Mytilus edulis: one gene and its partner. The protein of the gene in region 1 purifies or fractionates together with the protein of each later gene. This does not show direct contact. Links are inferred from orthologs where the notes say so. Each region holds a gene or a part of one and is shown on either strand. Other genes may lie near its edges. The genes, in order: nuclear factor NF-kappa-B p105 subunit-like and E3 ubiquitin-protein ligase RNF123-like.

Evidence for each region.
Region 2: the proteins of nuclear factor NF-kappa-B p105 subunit-like (region 1) and E3 ubiquitin-protein ligase RNF123-like purify together in Homo sapiens (affinity purification with western blotting; 4 studies listed by BioGRID). This does not show direct contact. The link is inferred for Mytilus edulis from reciprocal best matches to the Homo sapiens genes NFKB1 and RNF123.

The regions. Positions count from the first base shown.
Region 1 is NC_092352.1:47,167,623-47,174,779, reverse strand, and holds the start of nuclear factor NF-kappa-B p105 subunit-like, read left to right. Parts: upstream 1-4,125; 5' UTR 4,126-4,171; coding exon of another isoform or gene 4,172-4,190; 5' UTR 4,191-4,212; coding exon 4,213-4,246; intron 4,247-7,157.
Region 2 is NC_092344.1:2,885,478-2,892,779, reverse strand, and holds the start of E3 ubiquitin-protein ligase RNF123-like, read left to right. Parts: upstream 1-4,285; 5' UTR 4,286-4,451; exon of another isoform or gene 4,452-4,502; intron 4,503-6,657; exon of another isoform or gene 6,658-6,687; 5' UTR 6,688-6,693; coding exon 6,694-6,763; intron 6,764-7,302. Other genes in the region: rab GDP dissociation inhibitor beta-like, read right to left, coding at 1,211-1,318, 4,004-4,048. UniProt on the Homo sapiens protein: Catalytic subunit of the KPC complex that acts as E3 ubiquitin-protein ligase. Promotes the ubiquitination and proteasome-mediated degradation of CDKN1B which is the cyclin-dependent kinase inhibitor at the G0-G1 transition of the cell cycle.

The DNA of each region.
Region 1 (7,157 bases):
TCAATAATGGCGATTTTGACTTTTACCGTTCAGGAGTTATGGTTCTTGAAAGATTGAAAAATGGAGTTTCCAGTCATGTCCGTGCATTTACACATGAACTGTTCTTCCAAAACTTCCCAAATTTTAATATGTTGTTACTGATGACAAAATGGAGGTCAAGTTCAATTATGACGATTTTGACTTTTACCGTTTAGGAGTTATGGTTCTTGAAAGATTGAAAAATGGTGTTTCCAGTCATATCCATGCATTTTCTCATGAACCATTCAACCAAAGCTTTTGAAATTTTTATATGTTGTTACTGATGACAAAATAGAGGTCAAGTTCAATTATGACGATTTTGACTTTTACCGTTCAGGAGTTATGGTTCTTGAAAGATTGAAAAATGGTGTTTCCAGTCGTGTCCGTGCATTTTCTCATGAACCATTCAACCAAAACTTTTGAAATTTTCATATGTTGTTACTGATGACAAAATAGAGGTCAAGTACAATAATGACGATTTTGACTTTTACCGTTCAGGAGTTATGGTTCTTGAAAGATCGTAAAATGGCGTTTCCATTCACGTTGTTACATTTACTCATAAACCATTCAATCTAAGCTTTTCAAATTTTAACATGTTGATACTGATGACAAAATGGAGGTCAAATTTGATATTGATGATTTTCACTTTCATCATTCATCAGTAATGGTTCTTGTGATATTGCCAGGACACAAATAAATGTTAATAAATCCGGTTTGCTGTCGTTGTGACAGCCTCTTGTATTTTAATATTTTAATGAGTACTTACATGTATTGTTGCAAACTCCATTAGAAATTTAAATTGAGATTATTTTTGGAGTAAGGGGAAGGGGAGGTGAAAACAAATTGGAAAAAGGGGGGGGGGGTAAATAAGAATTTGTGGGGGGTTACACTTTTTCTCTCATTTCAGATTTTAGAAATAATAAGAAAATTTCTTCAAATTATTTTTTTAGGGCATTATTCAACAGCATACTCAATTGCTCAAAAGCAAAATTGAACATTGATTCTGGCACACTGACCTCATGACCAAACACATGTTGCCACATTCATCAAATTAAGAATCAATTTTTACATGTAGACAATAGTTAATTACCTGTACCTTAGAAGTCTTATCTACCTTAATTGATTCTTACAACATTATAAACCTCAGGGCAATCATCAGGTGTCTTGAATATAATTTAATTTCTGACAAGAAATATTACACGCGATATCACCCGATATGGCAATGTTTATAGTAACATTGCCAAAACAGCACAAGGGCATTTGAGGGGGGGGGGGGGGGGGGCAGAAGTCTAAGGGCACAAAGGCTGTAGACTGTAGCATCTTCTATTTGGGTTAACACAAACACTGATTATTTTTACTGCATGTGATTTCATTTACTTTTTCAGTTCTAACTTATGTGTGGGTAACTGTAACATGTGTACTAACAGTTATCTTTACCATGAATTTACATGTTTAAATGTTCAACAAATCACTATTTATGCATAGGCTTTTATAATGCTTGTTTACAGAATTAGTTTTAAAATCTTGAAAACCATGCACTTTATTACATGATTGGTTGCCATGACTTACATGTACATGTATATAGATTTCCCGTTGAAATAATACCCATAATTTTACATGTGAAATAAATGTGGTTATCAAAACAAGTTGTGAATTCTTAGAAAAAAAATATAGTTACTTACATTTTTATATGCCTGTTTACAGGACGTATTATGGTACCATTTGTTGTCTGTCCGTCCGTCCACTATCAACATGTTGGACATTAACTCCAAAAGACTTTAATAAATTTGCATAAAACTTTGCTTACTTTGGTGAATTGTTTATATCTATTGACACAAAATGTGTTGACATTTCTTACAATGAATTGAAATACATTGTTATGCAAGTCTGAGCAAAGCCTCTAAAGAGATATAGAGAAACTGTAATAACACCCTTATGTTATTGCAGGAATATATTTTCTGTTATAACATAGGTGTACTTTGCATGATTGGTAAACTATGAGCTGTTGCAAAGATTAGTATACTTACGTGAGCTCAATTTCTTTTTTTTTTTTATAAATGTTAGAATTATGTTTCCAAGTTATGAGGTTTTATTCATTAAAAAAGGGGGAAATTTCAAGTTTCTGATAATAACTGAAGAATGATTTCACCAACTTGCAAAAAATTTTGTCAAGTTGTTAATATCATAACATGAGCTCCCTTTTGATTTTTTTGATTTTAGATTTTTTAAGTTACAGGGTTTTGTACATGTTGTTTGCAAAAAAGATGAATTTTCCAGTTATCAGACAATTAGTCAAAAATACTTTAGCAGTTCTCATGAAACTTTTGTGAATTGTTTAAATATCTATTGATGTAAGCCCCCTTAAGAATTTTATAAATTTTAGATTTTACATTTCTGAGTAATGGGGTTTTATTCATAAAAAAGGGGGAATTTTTCAGTTTTCGGATGATAATAACTTACAAATACTTTCAGCAATTCTCATGAACCTTTGGTGAATTGTTTATCTCTATTAAAGTAAGCTCCCTTGTGATTTTCACAAATTTCTAATTTGGCATTGAGAAGTAATTGAACTATATTCTTTGAAAATTTGACAGGCCCTCACGACGCAGCTGCTTATTTAAATTTGTCATTTCATTTTATTTTTTTTTTAATGTTAAATGACCCATCAATGTACATTGGTGATAATATCTCAATTTAATTCCTTGTGTCAAAATGTATTTAGATGCACAATATTTTAAACAGGAGACAAAATATCACACCATTCAAAATGTTTAAATTATGCTTGGATATCAGAAAAAGCTATTTTTTTGGTAACACTAAATGAGGATTACACATGAAGACAAAATTTCAGTCCTACATCAGATTAAGGTATTTTACCGTGAAATTGTGATCATATATATACTTTAAACCCAGTACACCTGTTCATTATGATATAAATTTAAAAAACAATTGTAAGCCAAAATAAAAAGGGTAATACCCGGGTTTGCTGTTCATTGAACATGAAAATGTGATAGTGCTAGTTTGGAATTGTGTCCTATTAAGGTTTATTCTTGTTTATTTTGTGTTTTACTTTTACAGCATTCAGTAACCTGAAAAAGGCAAAAGGGAAATTTGTGAGCATGTAAAATTGTTAAAACGCACCTTTTTTTTTGTGCCTGTACCAAGTTTGACTATAAAGAATATATATATATACAAGTATGCTTCTGGAGAATTTTGAGGAGTGCCTCTAGCAGCTTCATTTCAATCATGTGTTTTTAATATGCATTTTGCATTTTAAAAAAAATGCATTTTTAATCTAAACACTAAAACATGCATACCAAAGCTTTTTTTTAAATGTTCTCCTTGTTGGTTTGTTTAAGGTGGTACCCAACACTTTAGCTAAAATTAATTTGGGTCATTTAATTTTCTCAAAATTTTGACAAAGTATTTACTTTGACCCTTTTACAAAAATATAAAAATTTCAAAAAATTTGAACAAACCGTTTTGTCAGAAAAATTACACTGGTTATATAGCAGTTTGACAAACACTTATTTTGATCATTGAGAAGCTTAATATTCCCTTAACAACACAACGTAATTAAAACGTTTAGCTGATTTTACAGAGTTATCTCCCTGTAGTGTTAGGTACCACCTTAAGCCCCATTCCCAAATGTTTCTGTCCTTTAGCTAACTTTGATTTACTTCAACCAAATGATATTAAAAGAATACACAACACATATTTGCATAGACACAGATCAAGTTCAAATTTGGGTGGCGTCACTTCTACAGTTCTCAAGTTAGTTACCTTTATAATGTATTATGCATGTTGGGGCATCATCTGTGTCTTGTGGACACATTCTCAATTTATTTAACTTTTATTTTTCTCTACTGACAATGACTGAGTTTTTGATAGATGAATAAGTTAAACTATTGTTAATTATAAGAAACTAATTTATTCCCAAAGTTTAAAAGACACAAAAAAGAGGACGAAGACTCATTTTACATGTAAAAAACAGCCTTCAAAGGAAGAACAAACATTTTGCAATACCTTATTGACGAAACACTGAAATAAGATAATTAATGTACTTTAAATACCATATATACAAAAATTGGAAAGGCCCAAAAAGTTATATTTAGGACTATAAGCTTAAAATAGATTGAATGTAGGAAGGAAGATGATTAGGAAGTTGATAGGTAAAGTTACGCAATAATAATCATGCAGATTGAAGAAAGGCATAAGTCGCCATTAGGTAAGAGGGAGGGGAGGGTTAGGCACCTGCAAACTTTTGTTTTACCCTCCCACATTCTTTATGTCATGTATGTGCCTGTCCAAAGTTAGGAGCCTTCATTTGTGGCTGTCTGTTATACTTGTTTTTCTATGATTGTTTCGTACAAAAATTCAAGCCGTTAGTTTTCTCATATAAATTGTTTTATATTTGTCATTTCTGCATCTTTTATAGCTTGCTATGCGGCATTGTTATGCTTATTGTTGAAATCCACATGGTTACCTATAGTCATGATAGTTGTTAATGTGTACTTGTTGTCTTCTACGTCTTTTGGTCTCTGATGAAGAGTTGTCTCATTTGTAATTATAACATTTCTTCTTATCTTTACAGAACAAAAAAGGGTTATAATTTCATAGAATTGCATTCAAGTTACTGTAATAACAGATTACGTAAACTACTCATTGATGCCTTTTAAAACACTATATTGGTAGGATCTGTGATATATAAAAGCTCTGCTATAACATGTATATTTCTTTTGTGCTGTGAGACGATTTGATTTTTGTTAAAAGTTAAATTGACATAAAATAAACGTTATAGTAACCTATAAGATAGATAACTTAACAAATGATAAGAAGATTCCATTTAAAAGGACATTGTGACTTGTGTGTGTTTTTCTGGAAAAGATATAGTGAGCTGATTGTATGACATGAAGTATACACTCTATTGTATAATTTTAGTTCCTTATGTGGTTAAAAGGTGAATAAAGATTTTTTTTGTTGATATAAAGTCAATAACAGGTTCTGTCATGTATCTTATCCCGATAGGTAGCTATAGACAATCATATCAAATACAAAGTCACATCACTTTTTGAATAAATTATATAATTTGAAAGGTAAAATGCACTGTTCAATGCAGTTAAATTAAAATTAATCCAAACATGTTTTGTAAGTAGTCTTTTGTTTAAACTAGATCAAAACTATGGAAATGAGGAAAATCTCTACTAGAACAGGGAACTGTTTTATTAAACTGGTACTCAGTCTTCAGTTTTGAAATTAGTTTCAAGTTTTAACAGCCTGGAATATATAAATTCAATTGAAAGCTTTTATTTAAACTCAGTCTTGATTACGTCAGTCTTAAAATGTAGTTCAAGTAGGAGCTAGAGCTAGGCTTCTGGTTATTCTCTAGCATTTTGTCCAGGGTTCTAAAAGGAAATTGATATAAGACCAAAAATAATTTCAATTTTACCTGTTGTGTGAACCTGAAGATATGAACACTGTAGTTGGTTCTTGTTGAGATTGAAAATAAAATATAGAGAAAATTTCAGTAGTATTATACATGTTATATAATTAAACAAGCCATAATTTAAAAGAAAAGGAAAAAAGAATATATTGTAGGAGAACCAGTTAACAAAATTTTACTACAGAAATTATCACTAGAGAAAGGGCGTGCAAATGTATTTGGTGTCCATAAAAAGAAGAAAAAAAATTACTGCAGTTTTACAAGTGCCTACATCAAATACAATGTGTTTCATTATTTTTGATAGAATTGAATACTGGTATCAGCCTTTCAAAAACAATAACTTAATCACATTGTCATCTTTGTTTAAAGATTCTGATGTTCAATTGTTTTTTGGGGTGCAAATATCTTTTTCAATAAGGGTATGTGACCTGTCTTGTTAATCCAACCTTTTCATGTCCTGCTGTAGACTTTGCATTTTTTACCTCAAAGTCCTCTTCTCTGATAAGGTCTGTTTTTTTGGTCCTGAGTTAGTCATGGTAATGGTATTCTGAGACTGCTCTGATGTCTGACTACCTTTTCGGGACTCTCTCGGGCCATTGTCCCACGGCCCCAGCAAGTCCTATAAAGAGGCTGTAAGACTTCAGAGCAATCTCTGACTAGTTCCATGAATCATTGAATGTCCTTTACATGTATATTAGGCTTTTCTGTATAGTATATGTATATATATATATTCAAAAAACGTTTCTTTTCAAGCGGTGTACAGAATGATATATTAAAAATTAAATACACAAAAAGAGTTTTAAAAGCAGCATTGTCTAGCGCTTTCATCAATCTTGGGACTTTTCAAGACTATGAACGTTGTTATGGGGAACACATTAGTATTATGACGTAACGTCATTGTTCATAACATATAAAGTAGTATGACACGATGTTATTGTTCATGTAACTACTAAGCATTAAGCTTGTGTTCCCCATAGCGACATTCATAGTCTTGAAAAGTCCCAAGATTGATGAAAGCGCTAGACAATGCTGCTTTTAAAACTCTTTCGTGTATTTAATTTTTAATGTATATATATTTATATTGAAGTTTCTTTGATATTCCATTGTATAAAATATGATGAGATATTGATAACAGAAAGATATGGTCCTTAAATGTTACTTTTGTTGAATCAAAATTTTTAACTTCCTCTTTATCTGAAATATCGTAGGCGTGATTATTAAAGAAGTAGCCCAGCATAGGTTAGTGGAATGTATCGTTTAAGTATTTAGGAACAGGAAATAAAAAAAGATATCCTCAATAAATGTATGAGATGTAAACTGAACTAAAAGCAATACATTGAATTATCTTTGAGATTTATATTGTACAAATATGGTTGCCGTTTATTTTTTCCTTTTGACTGCTGTTTCTGAATAAATAGCAAATAAAAGAATAAAATGTTTATGGCCAGCAACTGTGTCAGAAACTTTAAAGGTAAATAGATTTATACCAGCAATCTCATGTTAGACATCTTGACATTATTTACTCCTGTTTATTTTTGTCTATAGAAAGTAAATGAAGGAAATTAATTTTCAACATTGCTGCAGGCATAAAAACAGATACAAATGTATTTAGAGTGAACATGGTGTATTTTATTGTGTTTACATGTTTATTTGTATAATTTTTGTGTAAAAAGTAAGAAAAATTGTTCGTCTTACT
Region 2 (7,302 bases), on another chromosome or scaffold:
CCGATTTGGACCAACTTGAAAACTGGGCCAATAATCAAGAATCTAAGTACATTTTTAGATTCAGCATATCAAAGAACCTAACTGATTCATTTTTTGTCAAAATCAAACTAAGTTTAATTTTGGACCCTTTGGACCTTAATGTAGACCAATTTGAAAACGGGACCAAAAGTTAAGAATCTACATACACAGTCATGACAGTTAGATTCGGCATATCAAAGAACCCCAATTATTCAATTTTGATGAAATCAAACAAAGTTTAATTTTGGACCCTTTGGGCCCCTTATTCTGTTGGGACCAAAACTCCCAAAATCAATACCTTCCTTTTATGGTCATAAACCTTGTGTTTAAATTTCATAGATTTCTATTTACTTATTCTAACGTTATGGTGCGAAAACCAAGAAAAATGCTTATTTGGGTCCCTTTTTGGCCCCTAATTCCTAAACTGTTGGGACCTAAACTCCCAAAATCAATACCAACCTTCCTTTTGTTGTCATTAACATTGTGTTTAAATTTCATTGATTTCTATTTACTTAAACTAAAGTTATTGTGCGAAAACCAAGAATAATGCTTATTTGGGCCCTTTTTTGGCCCCTAATTCCTAAACTGTTGAAACCAAAACTCCCAAAATCAATCCCAACCGTTCTTTTGTGGTCATAAACCTTGTGTCAAAATTTCATAGATTTCTATTAACTTAAACTAAAGTTATAGTGCGAAAACCAAGAAAATGCTTATTTGGGCCCTTTTTGGCCCCTAATTCCTAAAATGTTGGGACCAAAACTACCAAAATCAATACCAACCTTCCTTTTGTGGTCATAAACCTTGTGTTAAAATTTCATAGATTTCCATTCACTTTTACTAAAGTTAGAGTGCGAAAACTAAAAGTATTCGGACGACGACGACGCCAACGTGATAGCAATATACGACGAAATTTTTTTCAAATTTTGCGGTCGTATAAAAATTTAATCCAAATACAAAAATATTCAACTTAATAAATACATGTATGTTAATTCATTAAACCATGTTTTAAGTAATCTCTACTGCACTTTACAGCAAAAAAAACAACTCACAATGATTGTTATTTTTAAATTAGACTAAAAGGACAAAAATGTGAGGCTACAGACATCAAAAGCATAACACCATTCTTAATTGGGCTAATGAGACCACTGGTCAGATATCATATTGAGTAAACGGTTCCCACATGAATACTTACATCTTCCAGTGGTGTGATTGATGCACTTTCACCTCCATAATAAGAATTCCTATCAATGTGAAGAACTTTCTTTCCCATAACTGACATCATACCACTTATGATACATTCCTAAAAAAAAAAGAAGTTAAATTCATGTATAACTGGTAAGATGGTAAAATCTGGCAAACAAACAAAAAATAGTTTCTTCCAACATTATTAATTTTCAATTGTTATGCTTTATGTTTTATTTTTATCATTTGTCATGTACATGAATGCTGTATATTTGGGTTACACCAAGTCATATTTATTATGTGCTTTATCCTATATAATATTTTATTTGATATTATGGAGCATGATTTGTCTGTTACATATACCGACACAGAATAGATGTTTGAGACTATACATGTATCCTCGTCTCATGGGTTTCTGTGCTATTAAGAATGCATTGTGACATCACAATTTCCATTGAAAAAGCATGCATAGTAGAAGTAAGAATTCATATGACGTACAAAAACATGATCTGACCATACCACTTGGCAACCAACAGTAAAATATTTAAGCAGTTGTACATACCTGTCAACCTGTGACGATGAAAATGCAGGTCATGACCTGCATTGAAGAATCAAATCTCAGGTCATAACGCGTACGAACTTTTTCGAGCTGAATTTCAGTATTTATGGTACATTTTCTTATAATGTATATCAGATACCAAAACATCAATGCATGTTCACTTTGTTAAGTCATTTTAAATCTTATTAAATATTATTTCATTGCACATTTAAAGATTTTTATAAATTTGTGTAACTCAGTCTTATTTACTTTATGAGAAAAAATACTACAACCATCAAACACTAGAATTTAATGCAAATCTTAAATGTTTGAGACTATTGACTATGTAGCCTTGATCCATATTACTTTTTCATTTACCAAGGAAATTAGACTATGATAAAATATAGTAGTACAGTTAAAGGAAGTATAAATGTAAAAAATAATTTTCAACTTTTTTTAAAAAATTGTATAAAGGTATAAAAATAATGAAAAGTTATTTTTCAATATGTATTTGAATTTTATATTTTTATGATTTAATCTTTTTCACCCATAAAACGTAAATATAAGGAATAATTTTGAATGGTGACAAATAAGGGGAAGTAACTCTAGTTCAGTTTGTAAACCAATGGTGCAATTTATTTTACGACCTAAAGCTAAGGTAATTGGTGTTAATTAACAGTGTGTTTGACATCAAAGCTGTCAAGTGAAGCCATGCACTTAATGGGTCACTTAATTTGACAGTTTACATAGCTAGATCAACTTCCTGTTCATGGAAGAATTACGAATTTGCCAGTATTTCAAAGGAATATTACTAATGAAATCAATCTCAAGGCTAAGAAATACGGGTGAAATCGGGTCATTTTCGGAATTCCCGGGTTATTTCAATGACCCGGCGGGTGTTGTGAAAATCTTGGGTCACACCTGCAGAATATGGGTCAGTTGACAGGTATGGTTGTACAAGCATAAATTGTAGATAACCAGATAAGATACTTCATTTGAAAGATTATTTTTTAAATGACAAAAAAATTGTTACGGTTACAGAAGCTACAGTTGTACTGCTTATTAAGAATTAGTATGGTTTGGTACAATCAGCATGATCAGTAACAATGTAATATATTTTTACTGAAAAAACTATCATACAAGTGGAAGTTTGATAAAATGTAAAATTTAAGCTGTAACAATCATAGACTCTCATAAATTTACAATGTTCACATTACTACATGTAGGTTAACTGTCAATACACAGCAGCGAGCTATGTGGTCTTTTTCCTCTGTAAATAGTACTAAATACCAATGTCACTCTAATATTTTTTTGTCAGTTAATTGTCTCAATACTGTATGCAATAACCATTTAATGCAAATGAACTAGTTCAAATTAATATTGTCTATTAAATTCATGTTATTTTATGTTAATTTGGACATAAAATTGCGACTGTCATACAAGTGAGAGGTTTAGCTAGCTATAAAACCAGGTTCAATCCACCATTTTCTACATTAGAAAATGCCTGTACCAAGTCAGGAATATGACAGTTGTTATCCATTCGTTTGATGTGTTTGGACTTTTGATTTTGCCTTTTGATTTTTGATTTTCCTTTTTGAATTTTCCTCGGAGTTCAGTATTTTTGTGTTTTTACTTTTTGTTATTGATAACTTGTTTTATTTTTATGACAATCATGACAATGTCCACTTGATCTTAACCAGATTTAAGTCTGTGTCAACTTAAATCAGAAGTGTCAGCTGTTTATTGAATAACTCCTTATAAAAGTAAACCATAAAGATGCTGACTCTTATACATGGAATGTATTGATTATTTGATTTGTGACAATATAGAGTAAGGGGGTGTGGCTTTTAATTAAAAAAAAATAATGTTAAGAGACATTCGAAATTTATTTATATCAAGCTTTAACTGACATATTTAACAGGCCTATAACATTTTATACATAAATCAGAGTATAAAAGGGCTTCTAATTACTGAAGCTTACAAAAATCAATACACCAAATGTATGTCGGCAGATCAGACTCCGCAGCTTTATTAGCGCTAGTTTATTATTAAACGGATTCTGAACATTTTCGCAATTAGATTGATCAATATAATATATCTAGCAAATTGTACATTTCATTTTGTGTATTGTAACCAAAACACATGATAATTTCAGTGATGACATCACACAAGACTGATGATAGACTGTTTTCTGATAACGACATTTATTACAAGAATTTATGTCTTTTTACACGTCTTATCTATTTGCTTAGCAAACGCTTATACCTTTAGTCCTGTTCCAAGAACAATAACATCATATTCTTCATCCATTGTGAATATTCTTCGTGAGAATGGTTTCAATCTGCTGATAAATACACACACCGGCGAAAATGGCCTCCCACGCGTAGTAATCTCAAAAGCATTATAATATTTGATATTTTCTTATTTTTTGTCTTTGCAATAGATAGATTAACATCCTTAGTTCAATTTTATTCTGATCCTTAAAATGGTTTGTTCTTTGCAAGTCGAATATTTATGCTGAAATGGATTTGAAAATAGTACTTCAGACGTAACCATTTCCGGTTAAATAAATTTGAGTTGTTAGGCACTTCCTGGTTCAAATCACTGGTCAAGTGTACCAAAACAAAACAAAAATAGGGTGATCTCTGCAAGAATATTTTAAAATGAATAGACTTATGACAACTTGATATTTATCAAGCCACATCTTATAGTTGTATGTTGACAAATAGTTTTCCATTATTTAGTAAATTTGCGTCGTAAAGTTGTGATATATTTAAAGTCCAAACAAAATTACTGTTAGTGTTACAGTTTAGCAGACGACGTGATGTATTTTGATTAAATTAGGCCAACATTTGATATTTTGCATGTTAAGTGTGCCTGCAAAACAAAACAAAAATAGGGTGACTGCAAAACAAAATAAGGAGGGATCAGGTTTTCCAAGTTTTCGTAGGCTTGTAACTTCTCAGTAAATCGAGATTTTCGATGAGTATGTGCCATTTTAAATAAAATTCTCAGTTACGAAAATTTAGTTTTTTAGCACTACCAAATGGTAACTCAAATGAACGACCCCATTTGGCGGGTTGTCCCCAATCTGTCCAAAGATATCATATGACATATAATCAAAAACACCACAATCCGGTGAAAAGAAAATTAAGGGACAATAGTCAATATACAGTCTTCATATAAAGGATAGTATTTAATTTCTCATCATGCTCATAGTGCCCAAAGCTAAAATAAATAATAATATTCATTATACATACAATGATCACAACCATTCTTTAAAACAATTGGTGCAAAAAAGATCAACATCAAAGCAATTAAAAATAAAAATGTCAATAGACTAATGTCTATTCAACATGTCATTGACCAGAGATTAATTTTAACTAAGTGTTTGTGTTTGAGACTATATATCTTGGATACTAATTGCAACAGGTCTACACTAAAGTTTGAATTTTGTTCGTTATTTAGTACATAAATTAGGCCAGTAGTTTTCTTGTTTAAATAAAATGTTATAGCTGCATGACTATGTGTAATGGGATTTGCTCATTGTTAATGGCCGTACCGTGAACTATAGTTGTTAATTTCTTTGTCATTTGGTCTCTTGTGGGGATTTGTCACATTACCAATCATACCACAGCTTCTTTTTTATATTGAAAGGTGTACATGACATGTACAATATCAGTTTGACTGGGTTCATTTGAACATGGCTTGACCTCATTTTCATGTCATATCATGGTTTATTGGTCAACATTCAGATACATGTACTATAAGCCATAGGTCAACTATAGTTAGTTTAAGTGTGTGACATGACTGTGAGGTGTTGATATATGTCTCGGGGCAACCATGAAATTCAAATTGAATAATTGTCTCTCTATATATATTAAATGCCAGTATGGGTAGTAGTGGCCAGTGGTTCTGAGAAAAAGAGAACGAGGAAGTTTTTAATGACCTTGATTGGCTATACAGCCCTTGCAGTTGCACGGTCTGTCTATCTATATCTTTTATATATTTTTTAACCAATTTGCTCTATTCTTATTTTCTTGCCCAGGGTTTTCTATTCTTTACTGTTCATCACCCCTTTAAACTGTTTTCTACATTTTTCTGTCTCTTTTTTTCTTCTAATCTTTACTTGTTTGCCCATTTTTCTCTCAACTATAAACCACTTTCATGTACATTCCAATTTATTCATGATAATTGAAAGAAGGATTTTTTAGACAAATTTTTTGTCATTCAGTTTTAAAAAAATTATTTCTTTATATTATTGAAAAAATAGTTAAATTGTTGTTGGATAAAGTCCTTGCTCTTTCTGTACCATTTCTTTAAAGACTGATTTTAGATGGTCATGCATTTCTTTCCCTATCAGCATATTTTTTACATGTCAATCCATCTTAAACCTGCAATATTGTATAAAATTAAAAAGACAATTTTTTTAAATGGGAATGGAAATGAGGTATAGAGGTCAAAGAGACAACAACCTGACCAAAGAGCAGAAAACAGCTGATAAGCATGTAAATGTAGTTACAGTAATGAACATTACACAGATTTAAATACTATGTATACACTCATCATGATTAAGTTTTCATAAATCATGCATGTAACTTTATGTTGAAGCTGGGGTTTGAGAAGTCAAATTAAGCTGTGAATAAATCGCAGCTCTAGATAATCAGACTCAGTAGCAATAAATGTTATAAACGATTTTGTTGATCTCAACCTGCCACTGTTTAGTGTATGAATTAAAGTATTCAAGGTTTACAATTGTACATGTCAAAGTGCATCTGACATTGACACACATAGGGATAGATGATAATGTTAAGCTTGTGTGTTAGCTGTTTGAATCTTTCTTAAGCCTTTCACTATAAAATTTAAGCACGATCAGTAAAGCAGCTTATTCACATATTGAATTGTGCATGATAATATAGTTGTCTGATTTTGATACCTTTTATTTACAGGTGAAAATGGCTGAAGCAGCATACAAGGGAGGGATATATGTCAGATCAGAACAAGATCAGGATACTGGTTCAGAAGGTAGAATAAGAACTCAAATAAAATAACTCTGTATAAATTTTGTGTTAGTTAAATTATAAAGGATATTTATGCAATGTATTCTGAATTATATGATATTTTAGTTCTATAGATAAAGTTTGCATTTTAAGCTCACCTGGCCGGAAGGGCTAAGTGAGCTTTTCTCATAAAAAAATGTGTCCAGTGACCTGGCTAACCAACCAAGATGGCCGTCATAGCTAAAAATAGAACATAGGGTAAAATGAAGATTTTGGCTTATATCTCTGAAACCAGAGCATTTAGAGCAAATCTGACACGGGGGTAAAATTGTTTATCAGGTCAAGATCTATCTGCCCTGAAATTTTCAGATGAATCAGAGAACCTGTTGTGCTGCCCCTAAATTGGTAATTTTAAGAAAATTTTGTCGTTTTTGTTTATTATCTTGAATATTATTATAGATACAGATAAACTTTTAACAGCAATGATGTTCAGCAAATTTAGATCTACAAATAAGTCAACATGACCAAAATGAGTTATTGCCCTTTATAGTCAATTTTTTTACA